Linked DNA regions of Lepisosteus oculatus. The protein of the gene in region 1 interacts with the protein of each later gene in a pairwise test. Links are inferred from orthologs where the notes say so. Each region holds a gene or a part of one and is shown on either strand. Other genes may lie near its edges.

Evidence for each region.
Region 2: the proteins of ccdc33 (region 1) and ppp2r3c interact in a two-hybrid assay, tested with the Homo sapiens proteins (2 studies listed by BioGRID and IntAct). The two-hybrid records come from large-scale screens. The link is inferred for Lepisosteus oculatus from reciprocal best matches to the Homo sapiens genes CCDC33 and PPP2R3C.
Region 3: the proteins of ccdc33 (region 1) and lmo2 interact in a two-hybrid assay, tested with the Homo sapiens proteins (2 studies listed by BioGRID). The two-hybrid records come from large-scale screens. The link is inferred for Lepisosteus oculatus from reciprocal best matches to the Homo sapiens genes CCDC33 and LMO2.
Region 4: the proteins of ccdc33 (region 1) and protein FAM124A interact in a two-hybrid assay, tested with the Homo sapiens proteins (2 studies listed by BioGRID and IntAct). The two-hybrid records come from large-scale screens. The link is inferred for Lepisosteus oculatus from reciprocal best matches to the Homo sapiens genes CCDC33 and FAM124A.

Annotation. Positions count from the first base shown.
Region 1 is NC_090700.1:59,238,797-59,246,636, forward strand, and holds the start of ccdc33 (coiled-coil domain-containing protein 33), read left to right. Parts: upstream 1-4,834; 5' UTR 4,835-4,935; intron 4,936-5,345; 5' UTR 5,346-5,387; coding exon 5,388-5,658; intron 5,659-7,328; coding exon 7,329-7,795; intron 7,796-7,840.
Region 2 is NC_090703.1:3,321,343-3,329,209, forward strand, and holds the start of ppp2r3c (serine/threonine-protein phosphatase 2A regulatory subunit B'' subunit gamma), read left to right. Parts: upstream 1-4,849; 5' UTR 4,850-4,939; coding exon 4,940-5,006; intron 5,007-5,720; coding exon 5,721-5,842; intron 5,843-7,375; coding exon 7,376-7,480; intron 7,481-7,639; coding exon 7,640-7,752; intron 7,753-7,867. Other genes in the region: prorp (mitochondrial ribonuclease P catalytic subunit), read right to left, coding at 1,988-2,120, 2,750-2,797, 3,290-4,260. UniProt on the Homo sapiens protein: May regulate MCM3AP phosphorylation through phosphatase recruitment. May act as a negative regulator of ABCB1 expression and function through the dephosphorylation of ABCB1 by TFPI2/PPP2R3C complex.
Region 3 is NC_090716.1:11,136,482-11,143,985, forward strand, and holds the start of lmo2 (rhombotin-2), read left to right. Parts: upstream 1-4,488; 5' UTR 4,489-4,633; exon of another isoform or gene 4,634-4,945; 5' UTR 4,946-5,148; coding exon 5,149-5,189; intron 5,190-7,486; coding exon 7,487-7,504. UniProt on the Homo sapiens protein: Acts with TAL1/SCL to regulate red blood cell development. Also acts with LDB1 to maintain erythroid precursors in an immature state.
Region 4 is NC_090710.1:30,451,545-30,459,000, forward strand, and holds the start of protein FAM124A, read left to right. Parts: upstream 1-4,449; 5' UTR 4,450-4,799; coding exon 4,800-4,873; intron 4,874-4,891; exon of another isoform or gene 4,892-5,391; intron 5,392-7,456.

The DNA.
Region 1 (7,840 bases):
TTGAATTGGACATCACCAACAACACTTTTATCTAAGCCTCAGTATCCAGAGCTTCTGCAGTAGGCAAAGGATGGCAATAAATTAATTTTGCATGCAGGATAAATTCTGTGCATTGTTGATAACTACTCTATCCTATAGCAGAGGTGAGAGAGTTAAATTCTGTAGTGCTGTCTAAATCGCAGGGGCTGACCTGTATTTCATGTTATACAAGGATTAGGGTCAAAGGTTATGGACAACAATTAATTTTTAACACACTTTCATTAGGAAACTCCTCCAAAGTAACATCAACAAGTTCATACCCAAATTAACAATAACCCCTTTGCAAAAAAGGAGTTACTATAAAAAAATGTTTTTTAGATAACTTATTACACCACTATATACTGTCTTGGCCAGTTATATTGAGCTGTAGCTATTTGTACATGGATGTGATGCATATTGGAAAAGCATAATGAATCAATACAATTTAAAGGCACTGTCTAAACATAAGTAAATAAACAGCATGGCCAAGTTAAATTAAAAAATAAACAATATCTAATTTGGTTACAGATTTCAGCATCTGCCTTAACCAATATTATGCTTCTAATTCATGAAGGCCGAGTGCCCTGTTTCAATTTTTATACAATAGATTTGAAAAGCTTTTAATTTTAAAGACCAAGTGTAGTGCTTCCATAAAGACATAGCAGTATGTGCCAGCAGGCACCCTGATCACATGACCATGAATTCATCCTGCTATGCCTGTAAACAAAATACTGTAGGGTCTAGGAGGGGTCTATTCTATGTCACAAGTCATTTTTCAATCAACATAATCAATACTCTTATAGCATTGTGAGTAAGATGGAGGCAGTTCTCCCAATTTCAAAAACCATTCTATCCCAGCTGGCCATAACAAACTTTTCATTTCCAATCGTTTGGTTTTTAAAGACATGACCTCAAGCAAATCAGGACACAATTGAGCTCAGCACAGACTTTGAATTCCTTTAATTTATGCAAAAGAAATTAGTTTGTTTTAACGACTGTGGAGCGCAACTCGCCACTGGTGTACACTATGTCTTTGCTTAACAGCAATGCGATTCTCTCTATTGCTCTAACCTTTTTCCAGCAGGGAAAGCTTTTGATCAAAATGACACCAATGCTGTGAATGCAGGAAGATTTATGTTCCCCATAATGACCTCATATCCAACCTAATCATTCAGCTCCTCCAGGGAACAGTTACATTGGCCATTAATAAAACGGGTCCCATGCTGTTTAACTAGACATCCAATTGACAAAGCAAAGCATTTAATTAAAAAAAAAAGAGATAAATATCTCTCTGCCATGATAATATTGTCCACATAACCAGCTGGTAAAATGCTGCCAACCACCGAACTCTGAAATCTAAGTTCTTGAACACTAGATAGAAACAGAACAGAGAAAAACAACCAGGTAACAAATATGTATTTAGCAATCTAAAAACTACAGACATCCACGACACACCTAAGAGTTGTTTAAAAAGTTAAGATAAAATATTTTTACTGTATACTAGACAGGTAAAAACAAAGAAAATTATGACATAAATAATGAACATAGATTACAGTTTCTACAAATAGTTTAAAAAAAACAGATGTGGTATTCCAATTCATGGATCTAACATACCATTTTCTTAACAAAAAATATACAGTAGGTAACAGCCTTAAATATTGGAAAAAAATAATTACTTTTCAAAACTCAAATGGTCACTGTAAATGACCTACTGTAATGTCTAGGTTACTGGTATACTTTGAATATGATAGCTATGGATATGACACGAATATTATACTTTGATTATGACAGACCCATCCACTATCAAAGGTTTCCGTTATCTCACTACCTTCAAAGATTTGTAAAGATTTATTTTCAATGCAAATTAGTTCTTGATAAACACGTGACCATTACATAAAAGGGTGTTAGTGTACATGAAACACCCAGTGTTTATAGAGATATGTAGAGGTCCAAAAGATATTTTACACACAAAAGCGCAACTTTACAAAACAGCACACTTCTCTGGCATAGGGAATCATGTGGTGAATCCTATGCTGAGAATCTGACTGCTTCTCTATTGTCTGTCCAGATAGAATAGTGACAGATTCCAACAAGTATGGTATGCTTCAGGTTTAAACTCACTCCCATAGATAACATCCGGCAGTAAAATACGTCTTTTTCCATCTTACAGTTCTCCATTTACCACATAAATTAGGCCTTACATATTTAGGTGTTATTTACAAAAGTCAAACGTCTTTCCCCTTGCAGAAAGCATGCAAGCACAACCCCAAATCACCATCTCCTCTGATGTACTGTAATATGCAGCAATAAAAATCCTGTTCCTCAGCCACAGAACAAAGGACTTCAGTTGTGCTCCTGATTCAGAATGTATATACATTACTTTTTCAATAAAGAGACCAGACAGTAAGCAGAGCTACTGCCTCTGATGTCTACTGTTTGATCTTCTGCAGATCCCAACAATGGGCCTTTTTATTTTTATGGTCTGAAAACTAGAGGGGAAAAATCGTCACTCGGATTTAGCATTGCACAGGTGAGCATGGAGAACTCTCCCTCACCCCGCCCCGCTCTCAAACTTTCTGAAACCTCTGCGGTAGCTTTGACTGAAGCCGACTTTGAAAACCACATCAGAGACAATCTTGCTTTCATTAAAGGGATGCTTATTATGTGACCTACAGTATGTGCTCATAAGCAATTCACAAGCTTACAGTCCCCATGTTTGTAACGGATGGGTAGTTACAGTTGCTGCCAGAAGCCGTATCTTTCTGGGAGTTGTGTGAAAGAGGGTGGCACGAAACTTGGCTACGGTTTTCCCGTTTTAAGTTTCAGTGGTACATAATTCTCTCAAGAACACGACATTACGAATGACATTTAATACCTGTTCTAACAACATTCGCTATCGAATCCATAGCGTTTTAACACCACACAGAACCGAAGTCGTTGTGATATTTAACACAAAATCACAATTTTAAGCTTTCTGCCAAGACAATGTCTGTTCGGTTCGGGTAGTACTGTATGCTCTGTGTTGACGAAACTATCGACTGCATTGTGCGTGTGTTGTTTTCAAAGACTACCGGATGAGCTAAAGTAATAATACAAAGGGCTATGTTACTAAAGTAATTATTCATAACATATCCTTAAATTACACTTGAATACATGTCAGTTACAAAAAAACAACAACACGTCTAACTCGCTTAACTAATTCTAGTAATCTCGGCATTAAATCACAGAAATGATATTAACACATAAAACGAATTCTATTAAGGGTGGTTTAATAATTTTAATTTGAATGAGAATTTTATATAAACCATGTTTGTTAACCCCCCTTGTCATGGATTTCGTTCTCGTTAGTCTCTTTATTGGCTATAAAATCTGGAGAAGTTAAAAAAATCAGACGGCTGCTTCTAAAGATTTAGTTGGCCAGGTAATTTGGAACACTCTTTACTCAATAAGCAACTTGATAATCATCGGCTTGCACTGAACCCAAGCTTAATTATGTAAGAATATAAAACAATCAAATGTAAATAGTTAAGTACAGTTATTGTTGTATAGTAATTTTAGCTAGAATTAACATTCTCTTTAAGATTGTTGGTATTAAAAAGTGTTTTAATGGAAAAATTCACCCACATTTAGACTATAAACATACTGTATAAAATCAATATCGTTAAGAAAAATTAGAAAATTAATCTGAATGATAAACATGTCTTTTTTACATGAAACTAATTTAACGGTGAACACGTGGATAAACAATTTCGTGTAGACTAATCATTGATCACGTAATAATTCACTCGCTATCAACACCTATTCTGTTTACTCGGCACATTCAGAAATGCTGTGTGCTTCCCAAACACATGCGTGCAGTTTCAGGTAAAAGGAAGGGTATGCGATTTATTTAAATCACAAATTAGTTACTTTAAAATAGCAAAGTCTTTACCTGTCATTCCCCGCTTACCGGTCATTTGTTTTTGCGCAGACAATAGTTTCTAAAGAAGCACTTTATAATTTCAAATTAACCTTCCATAATACAAACGAGTTTGGACGAAAAAAAGTAATAAAGTCCACATACGAAGCTCCCAGCATGTAGTTCATAGGTCAGAAACTTGTTTGCTAGTGATCTTCAAGTCACATTGTCAGCGCACATGATGCAATCTCAGGTGAAACTTTAAACTATGTCCACTGTCGCTGTGAGCACACAATAGCGCTAAATAACCGGATTAATTAAATAAGGTTACTTCACTGACACCTGATGAATATACATCAAGTCAAAAAAAAAAGGTGTGGCTTTTATCAGTCACAAAGGAACTGATACTCTAAAAGCACAATAGGTTAGTGTTTGATCGATATGTAATACTTTTAATTAGCTACTACCAACCAAATGGGCTGTGTAGGCCTCCTTTGAAACCTCTCTTATGTTTCAGTTTATATTAATTTTTGTAAGGTAAACCTACACTATACATGTACACCGCTGTAACCTAGAAACTCTGGCGTTTGAAACCTTAAATGTACTGTAGAAGGCTGTAGCTGATTAAGAAATGCAAAGGTGAAAACTAAAAAAACTTTGACTCCAATCGGTCTCACAGTCTCCCCTTTTGAATGTCATTGGCATTTTTCCCCTAACTGTAAGATGTAAATACAATGTGAAAACTGATGGATCATATACTGTGCATTGGCCTTTGTTCACAGTGGAAGTAGACACGACACATTGTGTATCACTGAGGTTTGTTGAAAGGAAACAGCTTCATTCAAATCACCTGCATTGTTTGCTTCCAAGACACAGTGGGATTGGCTTAGTGCTGGCTTCCTTAGCTGCAAGCATAACAAATGTCCAGGTGAAAACTTTCAAAACCTGACCTGCAGCCGATCTCACAATCTCCCCCTTTTACGCCAACCTTTTGTTCCAGTTTCAGAACCGACAGAAAGGTGAGATTCTCTGATGTCTGGTGTTTGTGTATTTCTAGAAGTAGAATGAAGTCCTGGATGATTGTTTAGCCTGGTAACCGGGGCGTGCATTGTATAATTTCAGCTTGTTTTCTCCTCTCAAAATCAATCTTTTCATTTTTTTGTCTACTTGTTTCTATTATATATTACTGGAATGTATTATAATGGCCGTTGTCAGAAATGATCACGTCTTTTACTGTTGTGTATCCTTCACAGTGATTGCTTTTGCCTTCAGATACCAGTGTGGACAAGATCCATTTTGCCAAACTAATTTATAAAGTACAGCTGTTGGCAACTGGTACAGTTACTATCTGAAATTGTGCTGTGAATACCATATCATTTTAATCTTTCTCATGGGACAAAAAGTAAAAAAGCACATGCCTTTTTTGTAGATTTTTGTTACTGCCCACAAGTCCACCCCTGGACGGGCAGCGATGCAGAGAAGTCGTCTCAAGATCGAGGAGAAGGAGCTGGACTTTGAGTTTGAGGTGGTGAATGTTCAGTTCAACGAGCTTGGCAGTTACGTGCTGAGGCTGACCGTGGAGAACCCCCTGCTGGAGGACTGTGGGACTGGCGTGCAGCTGAGGGTCAATGATGGTGACGTCCTCTACACCAGCACTGGGACCACTGATGTCATTGAGCAAGCCAGCCTGGATGAGATCTACACCTGCCTTCGCTACAAGTTTCTCTTCACCCTGCCCAAAGGTACTGCAAGCATCCACATCCTCAATCCAGGGTGATTATTACATCGTTGTGTGCATGAAAGTACAGTATGCAGCCATGTCTTAACTGATTGTCCCCTGATCCTTTTTGAATTTTTATTATGTAATATGACCTTAATTACCTTAATGGGTAAAATTACCTAATTGGTAAAAATTGTTAAATGGACAAGCTGAGACCTCTTTCCTATTCTTAAAAATATGGAGATTTTAAAGAAACCTTTCTGTAAAACCTGCTGGACTTGGGCTGTTAATGACCAGAGTTGGATCCACTACACCCCTGCTATAGTGTCAAAGAGTCCTTTTTTTTAGCCAAGTAATGTGAGTATCTTAAATGGATGAATAGGCTTGAATGCGAGAGTCGTCTTTCTACTTTTCAGCGCCAAATTAACCTGGTTGTTATATGGATATTTTTTTTGGCTGAGGCTGTGGCTTTGTGTCTAGGTGTACAGGCAGAGAACAGTGTGGTGCCACTAGGCTTATGAATGGTTTTGAAGACCTAAAACTGCTAAATGTAAACGTTTTAACTTAAGTGGCAGTGAGTTGATTGCTATGGCTGAAAAAAATAAAATCAAAATGTCCGACAATCTGCTGTATGACTGATTTAGAAATGGATAATTGTAACCTAAGAAGAATGAAATATCAGATAAAAGTACAGAATCTCTACTGGAGTGTTGTTTGCAGTTTGTTTTGAATAAATCTGGCTATGAATTGATATTCCTGATCATTTCAGCCATGCATCTTAAATCCATTAAAAAAAACTGCTGGTAAGATCTTGCTGCATTTCTCTAGAATATATCACTACTGACAAGTTCCTCTGTCTCTCACACACACCTTACAGGAGAGGTGAGAGCTCCTCTGTGTTATAACGAAAAGTTAATTAATGCATGTCACTGCTGTTTCAAGAAATTCTAATATAACACGCTTGTCTGAAATGGCTGTAATTACATGGAACACCTCTGAACATGTTCACTAACGAGCAGTGCTTTTTAAAAATAGAATAATTTTCAATATTTTTTCAAATCTGTATCCCTGTATGAAACGTTGTTTGAATTTGAACATGAGTTACCCAAAAATAAATTTGAGAAAAGATTTAGAAATATCATATTGGGGATATTTGGAAAGTTAAATGGTTAATTGGTAATAGTTAAAATATAGGGAAATGTGATAATATTATTTTTTTATTGTCCTCTGAAATCTTCATTTTTGTAATGGCAACATTTTTAAGATCAATCGTCTGGTGTAAAAAGGTGTTTCTTGCCAGAAGAAAATTGCGTTCAGAGATTTTTTGCAGTTTAATTTTTTTTTTTGCTGTCGTCTCCAAATTTGATCTTGTCATGGTTTAATGCGGGTCTTATGTAAAGAAAAAGAAATATGATTATCGCAATAAATATTTTAAAATGGTTCCCTTTTAGCTTAAAAAATTCACATCTGACTATTGCTTCATGGTTTATGAATAGCTCCAAGCCTCGAACTTGAGAAAGTGAGACACAGAAACTAGATTCACAGACCATTAACGGGCTCCGTTGACTCCTCATCCTGACCAAACAGATGCAAAAGATGTGGATCCTGATGATTTTGTCGGATGCTTGCTTTAATTCGGGAATTTGGAATTGGAATTCCAGTTTGTGTTGGTTCTTCCTTGTACATTTCCAGGTTTCTGCAAGAATGATAAAAACCACGACGTCAGGCTGAAGGTCGAGGCCTTGCGGCTCACAGGCTTGCAGCCGAGCAATGGCACCAAATCCGGCGAAGCTTTCTTCGCCATCTACCCGCGCACCAACGCGCCCCGCAGCAACCTGTACGCCCGCCGGGACGAGGAGCTGTACCAGTACAGCGGCATCATGGCCCTGCTGCGCGTCCACACCGACTACCTGGCCATGCACTGCGGGCGGCTGGCCTACGCCGTCTCCTTTCACGAGTCCAGGCCGCTGCCCGAGGGCCGGGCCAGTGCCTCCCGCATGCCCTCCATCCAGGAGGAGGACAAGGGCGGGGCGCCTTCACCGGGTCCCTCGACTCTCCAGGTGCCTCCATTAACCCTCGGGCCCTCCCAGTCCCCGTCCCCCGAAAACACCCCGCCTCAGCCCACGGAGCCTGCGCTTCCTCAGCCTCCAACTCCCCAGGTAGAGAAACGGCCCCACTTGAACCTGCTCTGAAAGTGACCAGTC
Region 2 (7,867 bases), on another chromosome or scaffold:
CTACACATTGGGGAAGTGAAAATGTTTATTTTTCAAATAAAAGTAGCACTTGAGGTGTCCTGGGTGAGCTCGGGGAGAGAAGAACTTTTGCAAACGTTTTGAGAACTCTGTGATGCAGTTCTGAACATTAATGAAAATTGATTAATAATAATTCTAGACTAATGAAGACTTTGCAGACACCATAAGCGCTTTAGCTGCATGGTGGAAAGCATTCTGCAAAGCACACGTGGAGAACTGGACTTTAGAAACAAACTTCTCAATAATGGAACTTCAGGACATTTGGAGGACAACTGCAGCTACGAACTCTTTTTACACACAAGAGCAGCCACCAGCCCATCGCATGCCAGAAGGACACAGTGTAATAAAGGCCACTGCTAAGCTCAGAAGTGACTTGGAAAACAACCACCATCATTAACAAAGGGGCCGCCAACAGTGCATCAACACCCTGAGTTTCCCCTTTAACTGAAATATTTGAAATATGTCGACTTCAGCTCTGCTTGGCCCCCTGAAGAAAAAGCAGGCAAACACACACACACACAAAATATGTGTGGTTTGGTTTGAAGCCGAGAAACAGAACCTGGATTTCCCCCTTGTTATTCTGAATTCTCAATGCAACTCTGTCGCCACCTTGAGGAATCAAGCCACATAGGCAAAAGTGAACAGTTTTTAAACAACTTTATACGGACCGGAACACACTGACTTAAACTAAGTAAAAACAGAAGTTTCTGTTAGTAGAAACTTAATAAGACAGAGAACAAATGTTTCTACTCACTGCTGTACACAGGTGACTATATAAAAGAAAAAAACAAGTTGCAAGGAAATACTTTTTTCAAACTACGGGGTGTGGTGACCCACAGTCTCTCAGAAGAAAAGCACACAAGGCAGGACTCCGCCCAGGGACGAGAAACAGCTTTTGTAAGAGTTTTATTCAGAGCATTCCAGCCTTTTGTATTCAGAGCTGGGGAGGCACCTTGTTCTTGCAGAACAGAAATAAGTTGAACAAAGTGACCAGGACGGGTGGCACATTTATCGGCGCATTCTTGGACTCAATAACATGTCTGACGGAGAGACATATTATAACTCTTGCACATAAAATTTTAGATGACCCCCTCACATCCACTCTTTTTAGAATAGACTCTCCTCCCGTCTGGGAGGAGGTACCAGGTCCTCTGTATAAAGACTAAGAGAGCATCTAATTCCTTTGTACCTGAAAGCACTGACATTTTGAAAATGGAAGAAACAGTTGAACTTGAACTTTATTGCCATATGTAACCTGTCCGTGTACTGGTACAATGGAATTCTTACTGACAGAAAGTCTCTCGACTGTTAAAACAAGTGTTAAAGTTGCAGGTAGGGATCTAATTATTATTGTTGTTGTTGTTTTCAGACTGTGTACATGCTAATCATCTGTTTATTAATCTTAAGGTTCTTGAAGAGTTCTGACTGAGAGATGTTGTTGAATGTTGTTTTGTATTATTGTGTGGTACTGTGGTTGCATTATTGTCATATATGTTGTATAACTATGGGCTCTTGACACGCATGACAAATTCCTTGCAAATTAATGTAAATGACAAATGTAAATTCCTTGAAAATAAAGGTTAATTCATAGCCTGTGTCTGGGAGAGGTGAGGAGCACTCACCCCAGTTTAGCAGCAAGCAAAGAACTGCCTGTACGACAGCGTCACAAAAGTAAAAATGGCAGCTGGCAAAGCCATGACGATGTAAAAGACGCAGGTGACCTCACATTGGCCCTTATCACAAAAACCCCCGCACTATGGGAGACAATGAACCTACTTCCTGTTGTGGCTGCCCTTTCTTCTCTAGAATGAAATGAATCATGTTTCTGAAGTACATGAGCTATAATCTAGGAAAAAGATCCAGCAATTTTACACACACACAAAATTGTTCTTCCAACCGCAAGACACAAAAATGAAAAAAGGTAAAAACCCCAAGGGTGCAGCAGGACCATGAAGGGGGCGGCCCTCACCTGTGGCGTGGTCTTGGTGAAGACGTCCCGGCCCCGGATGACATCGCTCATCACGCGGTCCTTCAGCTGCCTGTACTCCTCCTCGCTCAGCTGGATGGACTCCAGCCGGGCCCTGCAGCTCCGGCACACGCTGCTGGACATGGGTGGACGCAGGGAAAGCCAAGGGAATGCACTGGCACGAACCGCCCACTAACACCGAGCAGCCAGGCTTAAACGCGAGTCACCGAAAATACCTGGGAGCTCAGCTAACTTTCACCACTGGGGTTTGTGCCACAATGTCATAAAGATACTACACAATGCGTAGGCACTGCAGTATCAAAGTGTCTTTCTTACTAAGCACTCACAGTCTACACTATCTACACATTTTTTCCACTGGGTAGCCGTTAGAGTATCTTGAGTGGTTTTGAACACTGAGGTGCTTGAGAAAGATCTTACTGTCTGATCCCCTGGACTGACCAGAAGCAGCATGTTCTGACTACACGTGACACATGGAACCAGCCATGACTAGCCACGTTCACGGTGGGCCTCGTGACTTCATGCCGCTCATTGTAACCACCAGCTGGCAAGAACAGGGTGAGGTGCTACTGTATTTCCTGTCAAGGGAATGATGGTGAAGCCACACTTTCCAAACCACACTGAGGGCATTAGAGAGATATTCGCAGGTACAGACACTGAATAATAAGCTTCTACAACACCGCAGGCCTCTGGTAACACAAGCAGGGATGACTTCACCAGACACAATAAATGTGCACAATCCCTTACCTGGTCTCAACAGTGGCCCAACTTCCTTCCCACATGTTACCTGGGAGACTTAAAAGAAAAACGCTTTATGAGACTTTAAGCCTTAATTTCCTAACAAAGCAGCACCACGAAGCGAAACCTGCAACAGGCTGCTGGCTCAAGACACAACAGCAATGACTTAATTTGGACTCCATTAACAAATGAAGGTGGAACTGCAAGTTGAAGTTAATTTTCTATTATCAGACAGAGAGGTGGCGACCAGCACTGGCCTTTAAACATCCACAGTCTTGCAGGTTTCAATAACTTTACTTCATCATTGATGACAATGCTAAAATTATAATATTAACTTATTATAAAATCTAGCAGCCGTCTCTGATTCAGAGTATGACTTTTGACACAAACCTCCATTTTCTTACAACTGTGTCACTGAATCTTGTGTTTTTACCTAACAATATTTCTAACTAGAAGCTCACTCTTCATTCATATAATGTGTTTTAATGTCTCTGCCAACAAAGACGGTGAAAAAGGATGAATTTATTCAGAGCCACAGCTGTGGCCTACCTTTCAAACCAGGCCCTGATGCTCTTTGCCAGTGCCTCTCCAGGATAGATCTGGTTGTCTCTCATGTGAAGCAGGATGGACTGAAGTTTGCTTTCATTCCCTTGGCCTGAGAAGCCACTATCGAACAATGTCTGCCATGTTTCCTGGTTGGGACTAAGCCCCGTTCCAACCATTTCTTCATATAATTCCCAGGCAGTTGTGCTCTCGCCATGCTGGACAGCCCCCCAGATCGCATCGCCGTAGTTGCGAGGGCTGGGGGTGACGACTTTCTTCGTGCTTTCCAGCAGCAGGAGACACTCCCGCCAGCGCTCAGTCCTGCTGAAGCCTTTAATGAACAGGCTGTAGGCCCCAGTATCCAAGGTCTTGAACCTGTGCCTCATGATGTCATACAAGTCGAAGACCTCTGCTTGGTGGTTTCCATGGACACATAGAGTCAGGTACCTCAGAAGAAGTTCATAGCTCACAGTCCCCGTTTCCGTGGCTACGTACCCCAGAAGAGACTGCGCCACATCAATGGCGCTGCCTGCTGCCAGCATCTTCTCCATCATCTTCACCTCGAAGCGCTGAGGGGCCCCGGCACTCTCCTTCCGATTCTTCCACTCCGCTGCCGTGAGCGGGCGGCTAGGAATGTCATTTTCTTTCGGCCTCCTGGGCTCCTCTGGCCCCTCAGCAAGGTGTTTTCCCTCTTTTCGCTTAAGGAGCTCAGCTGTTCTCTTTGCTGTCCCCGCTTCAAACACTGAGCTGGGTGGCTTTTCCCTGCTGGGAAAGTCTTTCCATTTGGTGCCCGAGTTCCTGTAGCTCCCAGGGAACTTATTCCTCTCTCGTGTGGACGAGCAGCGCACACGAGGAGCACCTGTGTCCACAGGTGATCGCACACTCGGGTGCAGAAACACCAAAGGTCTCGAATGACTGAGGAGTGTGCAAATACTTCTAGCATTAGTCCTTGTGTAGGAAAAGAGTAGAGACCCCATCTTTAATCTTGGGAAAGTTACTTTGCGAATGCGTGGCTCAAGCCTACAAAAAACACCGCGGTCTACAGCTTTTGACAGGGAACAGGGCAAAGTGGCTTTATTACTTTATAACTGCACCAAGCCAGGAAAGTCAGAATCCGTGACTCTCATTTCTGGGTGTAAGAAGCAGACGCACTCCCCAGTCAGATTCAAGATCTTTAATAAAACAGGCGTTTGAAAACAGATCACTTAAGTGTTTGTGGTGATGCAGCAGCAGGTTACTCGAAAGCTTCAACACATCGAATCTTCTGATTTTAAGAGTTCAACAATGTCAAGCGACTGAATGCTATTTACGCTTCCCTAATGGTCCAGGAAGATCGCTGTTTCATCGATTAATCGCAAAAAAAAAGAGAGAGTAACTCACATTACTTTACAAGCCATCGTTTACTCAACCACTCTGTACGAAAAATGAAAACGTTAAACCAAAGCACACTTTCCGACACACGCTGGATGACGTCATAAACAAGTGACGCGCCCTCCTGGGGTGAAAGGTCGATATTGCCCCGCCCCTTCACGCCGTGTGAACCAATCAGAAACAACTACAGTGCTTTGGCAACAAATCGTAAATGAAAGCAGACGGGAACTTGTTCTGAGAGATTTCGAGTTGTTCTGCTTAGTTATAATTGATTTTAAAGTTTCAATGTCGAGAGATAAAGCAATAGAATGGAAAGAAATTCTAAAGAGGAGGTTGGCAACCTCAAAAAAAGGTGAGTGAATAAAGTGTGCCTTTGTTTGACCTTTTTAAACCATCACTGGGCGATATCTCTATGCCTTATAAATGGATTTTGTTTGACAATTTCATCAAACTGTATTTTAATGTTAAAGGAAGTTAGACAATCGCAATCGCAAAGTTAAAATTTACAGAAGTTATTTAGCTAATTAACATTATGTTGTCAATTACGGTATTTTTTACCGTTGTAAATGTTATGTTGTGTAAAATCTGTTCAAGGCCATTGGATAAAACTTAAAGTTGCTTCGATTATCGATTCATAAAGTTTTGCTTCTCCGTTGTCTCTCAACTCAAATTTGCATAGTAATTTTTGTTATTAATATGCAAGTTATATTCACAACGAGTCGTAGTGCACGACTGTGAAGCGCAGAAACATGACTGTGCAATTGAAACTATAACACGCCGATTGATGTTTATTAGGGTTTCTTCAGGATCCTGGAGATGAGTACGGCACTCTCTGTTCATTTAAAGGAGATTGTGAGGTTACAGTTCTTTGTTTAAGAAATGTGTACTACAAATATTTTAACTATTCGGACAAGCGTCTTTAAATACTTCAAGCCAACGTCAATCCATCCCCAATGTAAAAATTAAAATAAGCTTTCTGGCACTAGTTGTAATATTTCAGGTGAAAATACTGTAGCATTAAAACTTTTTTATTTTTCACATTTCGTCTCTTGTGTTTTCTGCCCAGATGAAATGACGGAGCAGGAGAAGAAAGACGAAGAGATGACGTTGTTCACTAAGCACTACACAGAGTGGGGCTGGGGCAGGCGGGATCGCTCCTATAGGAATATACCGCGCTTTTACTACCGGGTGAGTGCGAGGGCAGCAGGCCGGCTGCTTGCAGTCTGATGGACCTGTGAGAGCTCTGTAACCTCTGAGCTCTTTCCTTGTGTGTCGAGTATAACACTCGCTTGTGGTGCAAACTTCAGGCCATTACTTGTTTGATGATTTTTGAATATCTTAGCTATCCCAGCATCGCTGTTGCCTTCTCAGTTCTTTTAAAGTAAAGTAAAATTATATATATTTTTTAAGGACAAAGAACATTAGAAAAGGTTACAAATGAGAGGAACCTCTTGGGCTTTCTAGCCCTTTTGGTAGTTAATAGGGGTGTGACCCCTGTGTCCCTGCCAAATTTCCTCCCGGGCCTTTATCAGTCATGGCCTCCCAGTAATCCCCATCTCTGAACTGGCTTCATCCCTCTGCTCTCCTCCCCACTGAGAGCTGGTGTGTGGGGAGAGTACTGGATGATGCTCCAGTACTTTCCCCACTGAGAGCTGGTGTGTGGGGAGAGTACTGGATGATGCTCCAGTACTTTCCCCACTGAGAGCTGGTGTGTGGGGAGAGTACTGGAGCATCATCCAGGTGGGGCTGCACACTGGTGGGGATGGAGTGGATCCCCATGACCTGTAAAGAGTGTCCAGAAAAGTGCTCTGTAAGTGTAAGGAATTAATTATTAATAGTTTATTCATCCAAAAAAAACCTTCCAGCCATTTCTCGAAAGAAGCCATTGAGTATTAGCCTTGACAACAACCTTGATTTGTTAGTGTATTACAGACTCCCACAGCCCTTTGCATAAAGACATACCATGCCTCCTGTTCGCCGTTTTACAAGCGCAGGGGGGCAGTAATACTCAAGACCATATTTTTATGGTCTTGGTCTTGTCATGGACGTTTGCACTTGGCCTTGTCACGGTTTTGGACAAGGATGGGATTTCATTTTTTCCCGAGACCGGTTGAGACCAGTTAAAAAAACACAGAACACATGTACATCTGTTGTAGCCTATTATTTTGCTGCCTCTCAAAAACATATTTCTGCCACCAGATGAACATTATACGCATCCAATAATAACCAATGATTGTCCGTTGTCCGTGATCAAAGGCGCCAGTTTTTTTTAAGGATGTTGTCTATACAGTAGACTACACATCATTCTGCCGAAAATGTCATCTACATTGTCGATACTTCAGTTCGCATGTGAAGCACAAAGAGTTCGTCTGCAAAAGGACACTGGAAAAAAAAACATACTGCAGAGTGCAAAGTTTTCAATACCTCAATTTAATGAATTATTTTTGATATGTGAGCTGATTGCTAGTTTTGTTACTGTTTAGAATGTTTGTGCTAACACTTAACGTTTGGCACATTCATGATGATGGCATCATATAGCTATTTGCGAACTGGTCTTGAGTTAGACACACATTTATTTAGGTCTTGGTCTTGTCTTTGACTCACCCCCACTAATCTCTTCCCGGACCCGGTCTCGGGCCGGACTCGGACTAGGTGGTCTTGCCTACAACACTTCGGATATGCACTCGGTAAGAGATCTGCGTTTTAATCTGTTTCCTGCAGTTGCCAGCTGAAGACGAGGTTTTGCTGCAGAAATTACGAGAGGAATCCAGAGCTGTGTTTTTGCAGCGGAAAAGCAGGGAGCTTCTGGACAACGAGGAGCTGCAGGTAGTTAATAAAAGTGCACCTGTTCCTAGCTTATTACACGGTTTTCTGTATATTTGAAGTCATTTCTGTGTAATATGTCTTCTCGTGTGCTATTCCCAGAGCACTGCTGAGTTGAATAAAGTCACGAATTGCGAGTCTGTTCCTCCCTTGTTCTCCCAGAACCTGTGGTTTTTGCTGGACAAACACCAGACGCCGCCTTCGATAGGGGAGGAGGCCATGATCAACTACAACGGCTTCCTCAAAGTCGCTGAAAAGGCAGGAGCCAAGTGCAAGTAAGTGGGAACGGACAACAATGTAGCCTACTGTGTACGTGATCTGAAACCCTGATCTCATCATTTTTGCAAGAAACAGCAAATCTCCAATAGGTTTTATAAGTCTTATGATGTT
Region 3 (7,504 bases), on another chromosome or scaffold:
AGTCGTCCTATCAGAGCTCAGCAGGATGGCGATGCGCAACAGGCAGGAAGTCGGAACAGCAAACAGCAGTGCCCCCTGCTAGTTCGGTCTTCGCTCACTTCCTGTTTATCCTGGTTCATCCAGTCAATTCCCTGGAAAGTGGATAGAAATAATGTCCTGGATCTGTCCTCTGCAGCTGAGCATTTCAGCGTCTCCCTGCTTCTTAATCCTTTCCCACATCTAGGTTAAACTCCAAGTAGCTAGAAGCGGGAAGGCTAAGGAATAACATATATATATATAATCTCATAGTTTCAAAATCCTGTTATAGAACTGATTCAACAATTAGAAAAAAATGTTGGGGTGGGTCCAGTTGTATGTCTGACATGGGCAGGGACTGGAACATTGTTGATATGTACCTGACTCTTACAGTTTGTTTTGAATAATTTTAATGTAACACAACCACAGCTTTTAGTATTTCTGTGGCAATAGAAGAACTAGTAGGGATATTGATATCATGTTCAGAATCCTCTTTACGTATGTCAGTAGGCCACTGTCTCTTTTTGCCTATTAACTGAAGGTGTTACCCTAAAAGGAACATTAATTCCTAGTTCAGAAATACCGAACAACTGAAAAGCATCGCTGACTCGGGTGTTGTAGACGAAATCTGAAATCAAGTCAATATACTTGCTCTCAGTGCCAAAAGAAAGGGGAAGGAAGGACAACAAGTGTTGAATCATTTACTTTGAGTCAGGTACTGTAGTTCTGTTTCCAGGGTGATACAGACAAGCTGTGTCAGCAACAACCGTTGTGGACAGATTTGTTTGGTCAATTCTGCAATAGGCCTTTCGGCTCTCCATTACCATGCAATCTCAGCTGTGTCTTCTAACGGAATTGCTCAATCTGTTTTTAATTCACCCATATTTTTATTCATTTTCTGTTTACATATTATGCATCAGGTCAATTATCGGGATAATTGTAAGGGGGGAAAGCTTGTGGAATATAATTATACAATGATACCTGTTACAGACATATACACAGATTTGTCCTGCTGGAATTGTACACGTTGTTTAAAGTTTGGCTCCAGCATGGAACCGACATGGTAATTGAGATTGTTCGGAAATCATAACTAAAGGCATCTGTAGGTAATAGTAAACTCTTTCATTCCTGTACTGACAGGGTTTATAACTGGTCAATCACAAAAATGGTCAAGAAAATCTCCTTTGTGTTGAAAACGGACACTTCCGTTACTCACTTACTCAAAATTACTCAAAAGTCTTGTTGGCAAGTAACACACAATGCACACGGAAACAACTATAAAAGGGTAGGAACTGCTCGATTAAAAATCTTTTAAAATTGTTAACAAGTCACAGGTGTTCAATGAGTGAGAGCATATACAATAGGTTAAGGCATTTTGAAACAATAGCATTTGCTCTCTAAGTTGAAGTAATTAATGAAGAATATTGTTTTCTCACTCATTTATTATTACTGCCATTTTTATACAGACTCTGTAGAGACTGACAAACACCAGGTCTCCATTTGGGCTAAAACTTGGACACAGAATTGGCATTATTCACATGTACTGAGCCTAAGAAGAAATGTATTACATAACAATGCAAAGAATGAGGGAAATGACAGTGGTCTTTTTTGTGGCAGGTGCTTTGACAGTTTCATTCATTATTCTGATCAACATTTGTCATCTGCAGGGTTGATCACAACTGATCACCAGGGGGTTTGCTGTGGAAGTCACAGGCTAGTAGTGTGTGTGGCCAAGTCTGGAAGCTGTAGGTCTGCCATGCATTCTTTACACCAGGTTGTAGATATTGTTTTGTGGGTTTCTGACCTATTCTCCTCATGGAGCTTGCTCAAGCATGTGTCTGTTTGCTGGCTTCTGAGTCCTAGATACTGCATATCATACCAGCTGGGAAGTCTGGGAAGTCTGGCATTATTGTAACATTCTCGTCACACAACAAAGCTATTGATTACACAAGCAGCATGAGGCCGTGCACGATCCTGCTGGAATGTTATCACTTCAAGATGAGCTTGCAGGAAGAGCAGCAAGAGAAGTCTGGGCAGCTTAGAAATGGCTGAAACCCAGAAGGCAAGTGGCAGTGCTCAGCTTCAGCCCATATGCCAACTTACCAACGGCACAAAGGCATTGTTCTTTTCAATACTGGTTCCTTTCTGTCTTCTTATTTCTTAACTTACTTCATGTCCTTCATGTCCAATAGGTTAGGTTGTCTTATCAGCTCCCTCAACCCCGAGGTTATTATCTAACAGTCATCTGAGTCCGTCACAAGTGATCAGCTAATCACGATGACACCAAAAACATATAAAATATACCCCAAATCTGTACCTCATTTTTATTTAAAAAAACACATGCATCGAGTAATATTTTTCTTTTATAGTTTAGTATTTATAGTCAATCATGTTCATCATATTTTTCGATAATAAAATAAATAGAAACATATACAAGCAAATAAGTTTGAGCAAATACTGTACGCAGACAAACTGTTGTTGATATTACCACCACGCAGACCAGTTCCATAAGCAGAGATTTGTAACTTGCTTTTGTGAGGGACTGATAAAGGAACTCCTGTAAATAATAACTACACTAAATCTCTAGCTCACTGTGACAGATGGAGGAAATGAAATCTCCCTAGCAGAAGAAAAAGGGCAAGTGACCAAAAGTGACACTGACATCCTCCTCTCATTCACTCAGATGTAAATCATAGTAGCACCAGTCTGTGCAAAATGAATTTGAGTGATTGGCACCAGGTCATGTTTTTATGTGCTAGTTAGCCAAATAAAAAAAACCAGCAGTGTAACTCCAAGTGATGTCTTTCCAGCATCCAAATCTTTTAGGGAGCCCTGGTCCCTGCTCAGTATATCTCCTTCACAGAGCTCTGGGAGTTACAGTATCTCAGAGCCCAGTGTCTCTGCAGGCCCCTGGCCTCCTTAGAATCAGGCAGCAGAGCAGCCCTGGCAGCAGATAAGAGGAACGCTTTTAACAGCTGCAGCAGGGTGGGGTTCAGAATAACAAGTGCAGAGGGGGTTAACCCATTGTTCGTGTGCATTCTCCTGAGGGGAGAGTTCAAGCACACGCAGAGCCTCGTCTGCCTGCTTTAGCTAAATTTAGTTGACCATCTGGCCACCCTGTTTGTCCCATGGGTGAGTCTACCCTCAGAGAGCTGACGTTGAAATGCCTAGTTGGATGGATGGGGCCAGGAGAAACAGTGTTTTGTTGTGCAAAACGCTCTCTACAGTATTTTAAATACGGCCTCAACATCCTTTCTGTTAACTAGGGTATTAAACCTTAAAAAATGTTAAATTCACTTGTGCAACCTCCCCTTTACTATCAGAGCTATTACTAAATACTCATGAGGGAATTCTCGCAACGTAAAGGCAGTGAAAACATAGAAAAATATTGTTCCCAATATGTCTTTTCTTTTAAAACTATTAGACAACATAAAAGTTGTGGCCTAATAGTTGTTGAACTCTTCCTGAATCATGACTGGGGTGCAGCTGAGAAGTGATTTTTCTTTTTTTTTTAAATACGCCTTATTGCCTCCATAAGGGGAGAAGCATTTTAAACAATAATTGAATTGAACACCTGATGAAAATACGGGATTCAGATGCAGCCTCGTGTAAAACTGCAATTGCACACAGATTTTTAAGCCACCTCAAACAGCAAAAACACTAGTCCTTGTATTGCAGAATATCACCTTATTAGCTCTGAATATTGGCTCTGAAAGAGCTTAATTTCAGCACCCTCCTTCTGTGCTGTTCCCCATTTGAAAGCCCCCACGGTTATTTTGCAATTCTTTACTTTTAATGGGTTTAATTGCTGCCTTCGTCTACTCAGAACTCAGCGAGTCCCTTCTATGAACTTAACTACTTCTGCTCAGGAAGCACCCAGCAGGTGAACTTCGTTACATCTGAGAATGTACAGATTTTGTTAGAAAGGTTTACTTTTCATTTTCAAGAAGAATAAGGCAATGGAACAAGTGATTTTAAGATTACGAGCATCGCCTTTCCATTTCAATACAAGCCAACCATCCAGTGATAATCGGCTTCTTCAGTGAGAATCTCTGTATCTAGGTATCAGGGGAAAGGAGAATGAAAAATATTTTGTCCCACACTCTCTGACACACACAGACATATATGTGGTTTTTTTTTGTACATTGTGAAATAGACAATTAAAGAGTTTGCAGGTCTTGAGAGACAGAAAAATGTTATAATAAGTAGATGCTTATTATGTAGATGAAATAAGTGCTCGCGAGGAGGGGGTATCACCGTTTAGTGATGCGGTGCCTTTCACGACTTTACCCTCTTGGTAAAATGTCATTTTACGCCCCTTTAAGCCAAACCGTCTAGCTAAAAACAAGCTCTTTCCGCAGTGAAATAAAAAACCCTCACGACTCCGCAGACTCTCAACTGGGCAGCCCCGGGCTGTTTGCATTACGCTTTTTCACATCCCCAAATGAGCTGCCCCTGTCTCTTTAAAACACGTTTCCTTCGATTGTGAAGGAGTCGTGAGCAGGAAAGAGGAAACGAAACCAGAAACCAAGGGGCAGAGCTATGTAAAAATACCTACGGTACAGAGAGCTGCCGTACAAAAGCCGTCCCCGCGACTAACCGCAGATTAAGGGAGACGGTAAGGGATGACAGAGGGAATAAGAAATATTTTTAAGCAGCCATTGATATTCACTGCTATCTTCACTGTTAATGCTGAAGAATACTTGAGCCGTAAGCACAAGGACAACAGTATAGCAAATGGGATGTTATGATCTCCAGGAAATAATAATAATAATAATTACTAATATCGAAAATTGTAAATTATGTTTAAGGATCCCGTCTGCGGTCTTACATGTATGTTTTAATATATAAATTGTAGGAAGGAACTGTACAGCTCAAGTAAACGCGATTTCCACGGTCTTTGCCTTTGGTGCTGTTTTTTTTTTTTTAGAAAATAGAATAAGATGAACAGGTGCAGTTCTTGCCGAAAAATCATATTGTCATAAGAAATATGCGAGAGGAGTCGGAAGTGGGGATATAAAGCATACGTGCCGCCGGATTAAGGAGCAGGAGCCTCTATAAAAGCCGAAGTTCCCGACGCAGTAGTAAAAGGTGTTTGATGCCATCGTCATTGCCCGCAAGGAACATCTTGGAATGTCATCTGCTATTGAAAGGAAAAGCTTGGAGGCGTCAGAGTAAGTGCAATGGTGATGCCTTTGAAACTAATGACTTGCAGTGTTTCTTTTCACGCATGTGCACTTTTTGTTTTTAAGGAAAGAATTTACCCCAAAACAACATCCAAACTATCTGTCACTTTCATACCTGTGACCACCAGGGTTTTAGAGCTTTTTTTTCCCATTAATCCGAAATAATTTAAGACTGAACTTTATATATCTAACAAAGACAGAGGCCATGTTGAGTAAAATCTCTTGTGATCTTAAACATGCAACTCTAGATCTAAAAAGTAATTAGAATTTAGAAGCAATGTCACTTAAGATTAGTTTCACTTGTGGGATTGAGTCAGAGGCAAATAAAGCTTGATGTTTAAGTCTTCTTGGCAGTAATGAAATGACTGTGGCGATAGTTTCTTTTACAGTAGGCCTTGCATTCTGTGAACTGTTTGCTTTCGTAAGCCGAGTTTCAGAACCAGGCGCCAGATGTAATTAAACTATCACATTTTCAACAGGTATATGAATTGTAAATAGCCTTTTAAGAAAGGGGCAATGCAAAACAGCATAATGACGTAGATTAAAATGCACTGACAATTAGTTTGTGTAAAGAAATTACAAGAGCAGTGTTTCGATAATGTATACTAGGTGGTTTAAAAAAAAGACTATTGAGGTTTTCTGTTCTATTTGAGATGTAGATTTTCACTAGCTCTCTTATCACTACTGCGATCCCAGTGTCAGAAGACATTAATGTAATAATCACTACTAGCACTAGCTCATTCTTTAGTTAAGTACTCAGAATAGGATAATGCATATTAAGTGACAATACTCATTCAATCCTTACTAACAAAAGATGTGTAGAACCCATGCCCTTTGAGTTGATAGACAGCAATCTGTAAGTGTGCAAATTCAGGTAGTAAAGTTTGGGTTACTCCACATTTTTATGCATTAATTGTATTTTGTTTTGACTATATGATAACTTTTGATAAGTTTCTTTTAATAGATTCTAGGTAACACACCAATACAGAGATGTGCTGTACTGGGGAAATCTAAACCATGGAAGGCCAAATATATACCTCAGATAAAAAAGAATGTTACTTTTGCACTTTTATTGTATATCGTATACACAATACATTAGGTATATATTAAGTAAATAACTGTAGCTATTCTTTCTATTATTTAAACAAAGAAATGTCATAACCTAATAAATATACAGTACATCCTTGCTGCTTTTAAACAGATGATGCAGGAGCAAAATATATTTTAAGAAAAATGTGTGTGAAATGAGGGTCAATTGTATTCCCCACTCACCTCTTATTTTTACACAAAACCTTGTTTTTCCTTCTCCCTGTGCCCTGTGACAGATATATGGGCATACACTGCGCATATAGTGTTTTTTTATTTCGTGGGAAGCTGCTCCCTCTGTTGGGGAATGATGGTAATGCATAATCTACAGCAAATGTCACCAGAAAGGTCACCAGTGAGAGAGATGTGAGGAAATTATACTATTATAGAGTGCCTAGTAAAAATCAGTGTGAATATGATGAACACATGCTAGCTCCACAAAGGCAGGCAAGGTATTGAAGTCAGGATCATGGCTGCATCATCTGATTGGATCTGTAAAGTTCACAACAATGCCTGTATGCCATCATCTAACCTCAAATCGGCCTGCTTGCCAGACCTCTGGGTGACGACATTTTTTGACATGAAGAAAACTTCACAACATTTCAACATTCTGATACTCATAATGTTTAAAAATGCTTAGTTTCTAAAAGTCACTTCTTCAAGCGCAGTCAAAATTGTTTCAGTGTATATGTAGACTGTATATGTAGTTGCTAGCAGCCAAATCCTAGCAGCCAGCCTAGCGTACCTGATTTTCAGATTTCTGTTTCCAGGATTATTTTACAAAGAGTACTGATTACATGTACAAATTAAAGATTATTTTTTGAAACTATAGCACAATTACAATACCCCTTACACCCGTACTCATTTCAATAGTAGTGTGTTTTAGCGGCTGTGCAGATTCTTTGTCTGAAGATCCACCTTTTTGTCATTATATTTGCACATTTCTTTTGGCTTCTCAGCTAGCTTCCTCTGTTTGACAGCTAATTGAAAAAAAGTGTCCAAACTGGGAAGCAAACACAACCAAAACCTCCAGACGGGGGCACAAGAAACCACCTAGATGAATTGTTACCCAGGTGGTTTCTAAAAGGTTTTTCACCGCAGTGCAGTTGCTGTGTCTGTTTGCCCCCTGTTCTTGGCGATGTGTGTGGCAATCGGTTGCTGGCTCTCTTGCTCACGAACGGACCCTGCTCCCTCCTCAGAGAGCCAGTGGATGAGGT
Region 4 (7,456 bases), on another chromosome or scaffold:
AAAGGAAAAACAGAATTATCAATAAAGATACAATGGTATCTACCAAAGGACTTTACAACTACACGTATCAGAGGCTTGTTAAGAACGTCCCATACAGACATCCCAAGTTAAGCATTGTAAGGTGAATACCCTTCTCAAAACACGTACTATGGAAATGATTTGCATACCACTAGTATAGTAAAATACGTCAAAAAAAAAAAGGTGCGTGTCCCTAATCGGCACAGCTCTCATCTCGTGATAGGGCGTACTTTATGACTCAAGATAAAGTATGTCTTCCTTAGGAAATGTTTGCCGCCGTATAAAGGTGTAGGGTTCACTGACAACAACATCGCATTAAGTCAGGACGTGTGGGAAATTAGGAGGAGCTATATGAGGCAATATTTTTGTAGAATACAAAAACCACTGACTTTACGATCTAAAACCCTCCTCCAATTTCGAGTTTGTTAAATACACTTACTGTATGCACGCGATAAAAAGGAAACTTGTTGGTTTGCAGAATGACACGGACGTCGGAAGACCAGTGGTGAAATTAGGTTGCTTAAAAAATCTAATTCGACAGTGTACAGAAATGTCCAAATAGCCTGAGCTTGACTTCAATCTTAAAATAAGAAAGGAAACCTGACAATGAAAGCTTCAGAACACAGCGCCAGTATTATATTTATGTTCAGTCAAGAAGAGAGGTTTTCAATTAATGTTTGCCATGCCCTTTAAATTTTTGGCATGATAGATAGATACTTTATTGATCCCGTGAGGGAAATTGCAGTGCAACAGCAGCTTAACACACACAACACAGCCACAGTGTAACGAATTATTTAATAATAGTACAATACATACAATACAATACAAGAGTTACTCAAAGTCCGGACACACAAGAACAAACTAGAACAGAACAGTACACAGAAAATCGTATCACACATATGAATATAAATATAGATGTAAATATAGATATAAATAGAAATGTATTGCACAGGTCCCTGGCATATATTGCACAAAAAATGGTTGTAAACGGGAAAAAGAAAAAGAAAGAGAACAGATGAAGCAGTAGATGTGTATATGCGTTTAGTCCAGAAACAGGTCACTGTCGATGTTGCCTCTGCCCAGACGCAAGGTGGATGCGTTGTACAGTCTTATGGCAGACGGCAAGAATGACCTCCTGTAGCGCTCCCTGTCGCACCGTGGATGAATCAGTCTATTGCTGAACGTGCTCTTCATTCCTGCAAGCCTGTCATAGAGGGGATGGGAGAAGTTGTCCATGATGGCCTCTAGTTTGGACATCGTTCTCCTCTCAGCCACTACCTCCAAGGGGTCCAGGTCAGACCCAATGACAGAGCTTGCTCTCCTGATGAGCTTGTTCAGCCTATGGTTGTCTGTCTGGACTTTTTTTTAAATTAACCAAATCATTTAAATAGGCCAGCTGCTGATGCTTGTCTAGTGATTGAAGACGCGTCTAATCATGGCTTCTGATTATAGCACTTAATTGTGCAGTATGATCTTGAATTAGACATTTTCTATCACAAATACAGTAACTTGTTTTATGTTCTAAAGTAGTAAAAAGCAATCAGTTCACCAGAGCCTTATGACAGAATGCAACACACTAACTCTAGTTTTGGATTGGCCTGCTAGAATAACTCTTCTATATAAAATACAAATGGCAAAAAAATAATGAATGTATGAAAGTAATGTACAAATACAGAGGGTCCTCATCACACGCTGGGGTTAGGGCAGTGGTGGCTGTCTGTGTTTGTAGTGACAAAGGTGTATTTGTCTGTATTTGTGGTGACAAAGGTGTGTTTCCCAGAGCAGGGTTGCACAAGACTGCTTTAGCCCTAAATGAAATACCAGAACGACACAAAGGATACAGACCTTTAATCCAAGGAACGCACCCAGCCGTCTCTTGAAAGACACCAGGGTGTTGGTTTCAACAGCGTGGCGGGGTAGCTTGTTCCACATTCCCACAACCCTTTGGCTAAAGAAATGCCTCCCGTTCTCGGGTTTAAATGAAATGCACTCCCACGCAGTTCCCACCTGTGTCCTCAGGTTTGATATTTCATTGTTCATTTGGCTCTGACATTGCCTTTGGAGGAGTTGGAAAACTCGCGTCTGGTCCCCTCACTGTCTTCTCTGTCCGGGACTCCAGACACAGTGGAATCAGCTAGAAATATGAGTTGCGTTTGTGTGAGGAGACTCATTCATCTCTAGGAGAAACGTACGCAGAACTTCGAGAGGCAATGGGGCTGAGCTCCACTTCACACCCACGCTTCAGTTAACCCCCCCACTATTTGTAAATTATGCACTAACTAAAGGGGGGGAAAAAGATTTTCCAGAAGCCTCTTGCTTCTGCATCCTGAACGGGGATTTTAATTCTTTAAATTGGTGATTAACGGGTGGGTTTAAGTTTAAAATTTAATCCAGGCCTTTGTAATATCCCATCCCTGATGCTCGATGGCCTTGGAAGTGCGGACTCTGGACAGCAGAGCAAGGAGGCAGAAACTGGCTTTACACGTGTCCGCCAAAGATACGGGAACATTCACATTGTCGTTCATGCGCAGAGGGACGAATTTACCATAAACGTCCTGCACTGACTGTTGTCTTGGAAAAACAGTTACTTCCAAATCATCGCCCTTGCCTGCGCTCAGTGAGCAACGTGATGTTAATAGATTTTAAATTAACAAATAGAACGGGAATCTTAAATGCATTAGGATTAGTACAAGTACCTAGGATAACCAGAAGATGGCAGCCGAATCACAAGTAAGTGCATGGTATTTACCAATCAGACTCCTGCCTAGCAACACCAGTGAAAAATCCCCATAGAACAGACTCATTAGCCTCACAGGAGTCAGACAGTAGCTACTGTACTGTACATGTTCAGGTGAGTTCACATTTCTGCACCACAAACACTTAAAAAACATGGCAAACTGTGTAAGCGCGCACTTTTCAAATCTGAAATGTCTGGATGGGTTCAGCAATCAAACGTCTCAACAAAAGAGGCGTTCGTGCGTATTAATATGGGGACTGAAGTCTATTTTTTAAAATTACTTTTCTGAATGATGGACAGTCATCGCTGGTGGGTTTCCAATGTGAGCTGTGTAATATTCTTGATTATTATTATTATTTTTATCTCCCTTTAATTTCCTTAAGAATAATAAACAAGAAAGTTAAATATAAAATTCTACGTTAGAATTATAAATGTTGTTAACTTCAAAAATCGTTATGAATCCACAAACATTCATGTTCCTGGACTGCGAAGTATTTTGTGTGTGGGTTTTGAACAAGTAGAGGAGATGATAACTAAGATTAAGAAATAAGGACAGGATTAAAGAGGATAAACAATATGAAACCGATTACTTCAGGAGTCATACCAGATTTGGGAAGAGTTCATGCCAAACAGAGGATTAAAAAAATAAAATGTTAAAAAAAGATATGATATTCAGAAAACACTGTCAGAATGAATGGAGATAAACAGTCGCCAATTTCCATTCCTTCTAAAGTAAGAGACAACATTAAAGACATTTCCATTTCAAACTAATTATATGAACGACAGCATAACAAAGAATCTGGCAAAGCAATATGTAACTACTGTATGTTTTTAAGTCATTTTTACTTGTAACATAACACTCTATTCCAAATTTATCAAGTATTGTATGACACTGTTTTAGTACATGACCGCATTTAGAATATTTTGATCAGCTCTGGTCTCCAGGATACAGAGAAAGTTACTGGTGCATTACAATCAGATCACAGGAGAGTAACCAGGTACATGGTCCATGAGCTCAAAGGACTGTCCTACACCGGCAAGATTAAAGAACGGAAACTTTTCCAGCTCAGGATCTAGCTACTGAGTCCTGTTGTTGGATTTGATACTCTTACTTCTTTCAAGAATAGGCGTGCTGAGATCCTCTGATCAATTAACATCTGAAGGTCAACTGTTCCAGTTGGTCCAAAAGACTCTCTCTCATTTACAGACGTTTACATTCTCACGCACAACAGGACGAATCCTGTTATCAACTGTTTCACACTGCTGGGACAGTGGATTACAGCTTTACATCTGTAAGGCGATTCCATGCTAAATACCTGGAGTGAATACCTTTGTAAATAAAGATGATGGTTCATGAATGCGGGAACAGCATTTATTTGAAAGTTTTTTTTTTTACTAATTAATAAAGGTTTACAAAAACAACATGTTCAGCTACAGGAAGGCATTTTATTGGCACTTGGAAAATGTACTTTACGCAGACTGTGATACTGTGATACTTGGATACTAATTATTTGCACTATTAAGTAGTTTAGAAGTTTTTTGAAAATAAAATACCAACAAACTCTACAGTATAGCTCCCAGGGACCTTCGTAATCAAAAACAATCACAATGATTTTTTTCCCCCGTTTCTCCTAATATCAGTGCATCCCCTAGCTCAAATCTGTTGATAGCTTAGGCAGGGCATGAACCCTCCCGCTCCACGGATACACGATACGATGCGTAAAGACCAAAACGGAGCTTTCAAGAAGGCGGAGGCGATATGTGCAATTTGTTCAGACGAGGCGACCGTGCAGCCTCGCTTGTTCAAGGTCGGCGCTGCTTCTGAAGGCAGCAGCCGGCTGTGCGTGACAGAGGCGTCGCCTCTCCGCAGTGACGCAGCGCACCCCAGCCGAAGCGCAGCCTGTTGAGCTGCCGGGAGAGGGCTAAGCTCCGAGATCCTGCTCCTGTCAGCTTCGGGACGGAAAACTTCTTCTTCTTCTTTTTTTAAACTCCAAAAGGACATCTCGGCACGCGTCAGGCTGAAGGGAAGAGCGCGAGTGAAATCATGTCTTGGTGCTCCGAGATAGAGAAGAACTCCACCGAGGATGATTGTGTGGACTCGGGAGCTGAGACCGGAGGGTGAGTCGAGACTAGCGGGGTACAGCCGACTAGCGGACTACGAGGGCGAAAATGTTCTGCGCGCTGGCTGCAGCCTTTTTTCTCTTCTCTCTCTGTCGCAATCACTTGGACCGATACTGGAAAAGACCGGCATAACAGAGCAGCCGAGTTTAGTGTACAGATCCTTCTGTCTCCGAAACCACGTTAAGGTATTTTGACAGCGCACAGGCTGACGTAAAGTTCCATCTCGAAATTGTTTATGAGCACCAGAGAACTTTAATAACTTTTTAAAAGCCGCACTTCATTAGCTGAAGGATAACCTCATCCACCTGCTGTGCGCAGTCACAAAGCAACAAACATCTGGCTAAAGCCATGCTCCATGTCGGATGATAACGTTATGATGTATTCGCATAGATGCGCGGTTTTGTGGAAATACATACGACGCAGAAGGATTTAACGTTCTGACATGTATTTAATGTCCGTTTGCAGCTTTGGTTACTAAGCAAAGATGATTGGTTCTGTTCCTGGTGTACTGCTAGGTATGTGGCTGTTAGAGCAGTTTCTGAATGTGCTGGCGAAGGTGGTTCTGTGTGTGTTAGTAAGTGTAGAGCAGGGGTGGCCAGCCTTGGCTCTTGGTTTCATTTTGAGCCTCCCAATGAATTCATTACTGAATTGATTCTTAATTGCTTAATTAATCCTGATGCTGAAGAGCACTCAGATAATACAGTAGGATTGTCTTTAGGATAGACTCGCAATGCAGTGGAATTGAAGAGCCAAGGTAGACCACCCTCTGTTTTAGAGACTAGCAGTCTGTAGGATGTTGATGTGCTGTGATTACGTCCTTGATTCTTCGTGAGTGTAATGAAGAGGGAAATGACAGCTGTGTTAATTTTAGGCATGCACTCCTGGTACCATGCAGTTCGGTGTGATTCACAGCCCTGTAGTTTCATGTGACCACCTGTCAAGCACACATTATTGATGTACACTTGAAGTGTACTTCAAGTGGAAATCTCAACTCTATAAACTTTACAAAGCTAGTGAAAACATTTTTTTTTCAGTACAACTCTTCTCAAATATTTATTTTCCATCATAGATGCATATGTTACCATAGGTTGGAAAGACACAGGGTTAGGTTAAGATTGATTCTTAAAATCATAATAACACTTCATAATAACTATGTCTTCAGCATGGATATTCTTTTAAGAGCACTTTACTCATTCCTGTGTCACTGCCTGTGTTAAACTGTTGAAGATACCTACTATCAACCCAATGAGGAGAGTGAGCTGAAAGGCATCCTGTTATTGGTAAACATTCTTCCCTTTTTATGTTTCTCTTTATTTTCAGTCTCATAGTGAGGTTATTTTGCTTTCTATTATTTTATCATGGCTTAAGCAATAATAAAGCTGATATGGCAAGTGAAAAGCTCATTGTCAAAGTCTGTGACTGGTTGACAGAGATGCCTCTCCAGATGGCCAGTGACAGCACACATCCTCTTTAAAAAAAATAAAACACACACCCCGATCATTTTGGTACCCGCTGTGCCAACGTCATTATGCAGATTTGCTGGATAATCCTTTGAGAAACAATGGTTTTTCTCATTAGTGTCAGAAGGAGCATGTTTGTTTTTCTGTTCTATTCTGCCAATAGAATGCTTTGTTTTTTACTTTCACACGATATCAGGTTGTTTATTGGCTTTCTCTCATCTGTGCAAAATTTACTGCTTGAAATATTTGCTGATGTTTAGCTGTGTATTCTAGCATGTATAAGGTCATCTAAAATGTTCCTTTTCCCTGAGATAAATGGATGATAGAGAAATTCTGTATAGTAAACAGTTTTCTAAAGATTCTAAGGTTTATTTAATCAAAACCTTAACCTGTAAGTGTCATGAATTAGCCCAACAGTTATTAAGTATCCATAGTATTAGTTTTTCAGGCCTTTTTTTGTTAGGTTTGTATTCATTAAAAGCACATGACAAATTTTGGCATTATTGCGTTTTCTTATGTAGAGAGTTGATAGAATATAAAATACAATGAAGGGGAAAACAGAGGCTGTTTTTAATCTGGGTTCAGGTGATGTACCTCTTTATGTGCATTTTATTAGTGGGATCATAAAAATTCAAGACCAAATTGCGTAGGTTACTGCCGTGGGTGACTCATAACAATGTTTTTAGTTGTCCATTCCAATAAGGGAAAGATATAATAGTTAAGATAGAAGAACTGTGTGTTGGGGCACCTGTTGATGATCTAAAAATTAAATGTGTCTGAGTATTTTACGTCCACCAGGAACACGTTGTGTTCCCCGAGATTCTGCAGCATTCTGGAGTGCATGAGTATGATTTGGCACAACACTGGAATCTTCTAAACATTTGGGCCTGAAGTTCAAAGGCAGAACATTAATGAGATGTGCCAGCTGACTGCGCTGCGCATTGCACCTTGTGAGCTGGACAGGCACTCAGTGTAAATTGGAAGCTTAGGACAAACATTGTTTTGCTAATCCAATCAGAAGAGAGTCTCTGGACAGACTCCTCTCTGCCTTTCCCAAATGGGTTTGATGAGGACTTAGAACATTTTGTAATGCAGGATAATAGGATGTTAGCCAGCTTAT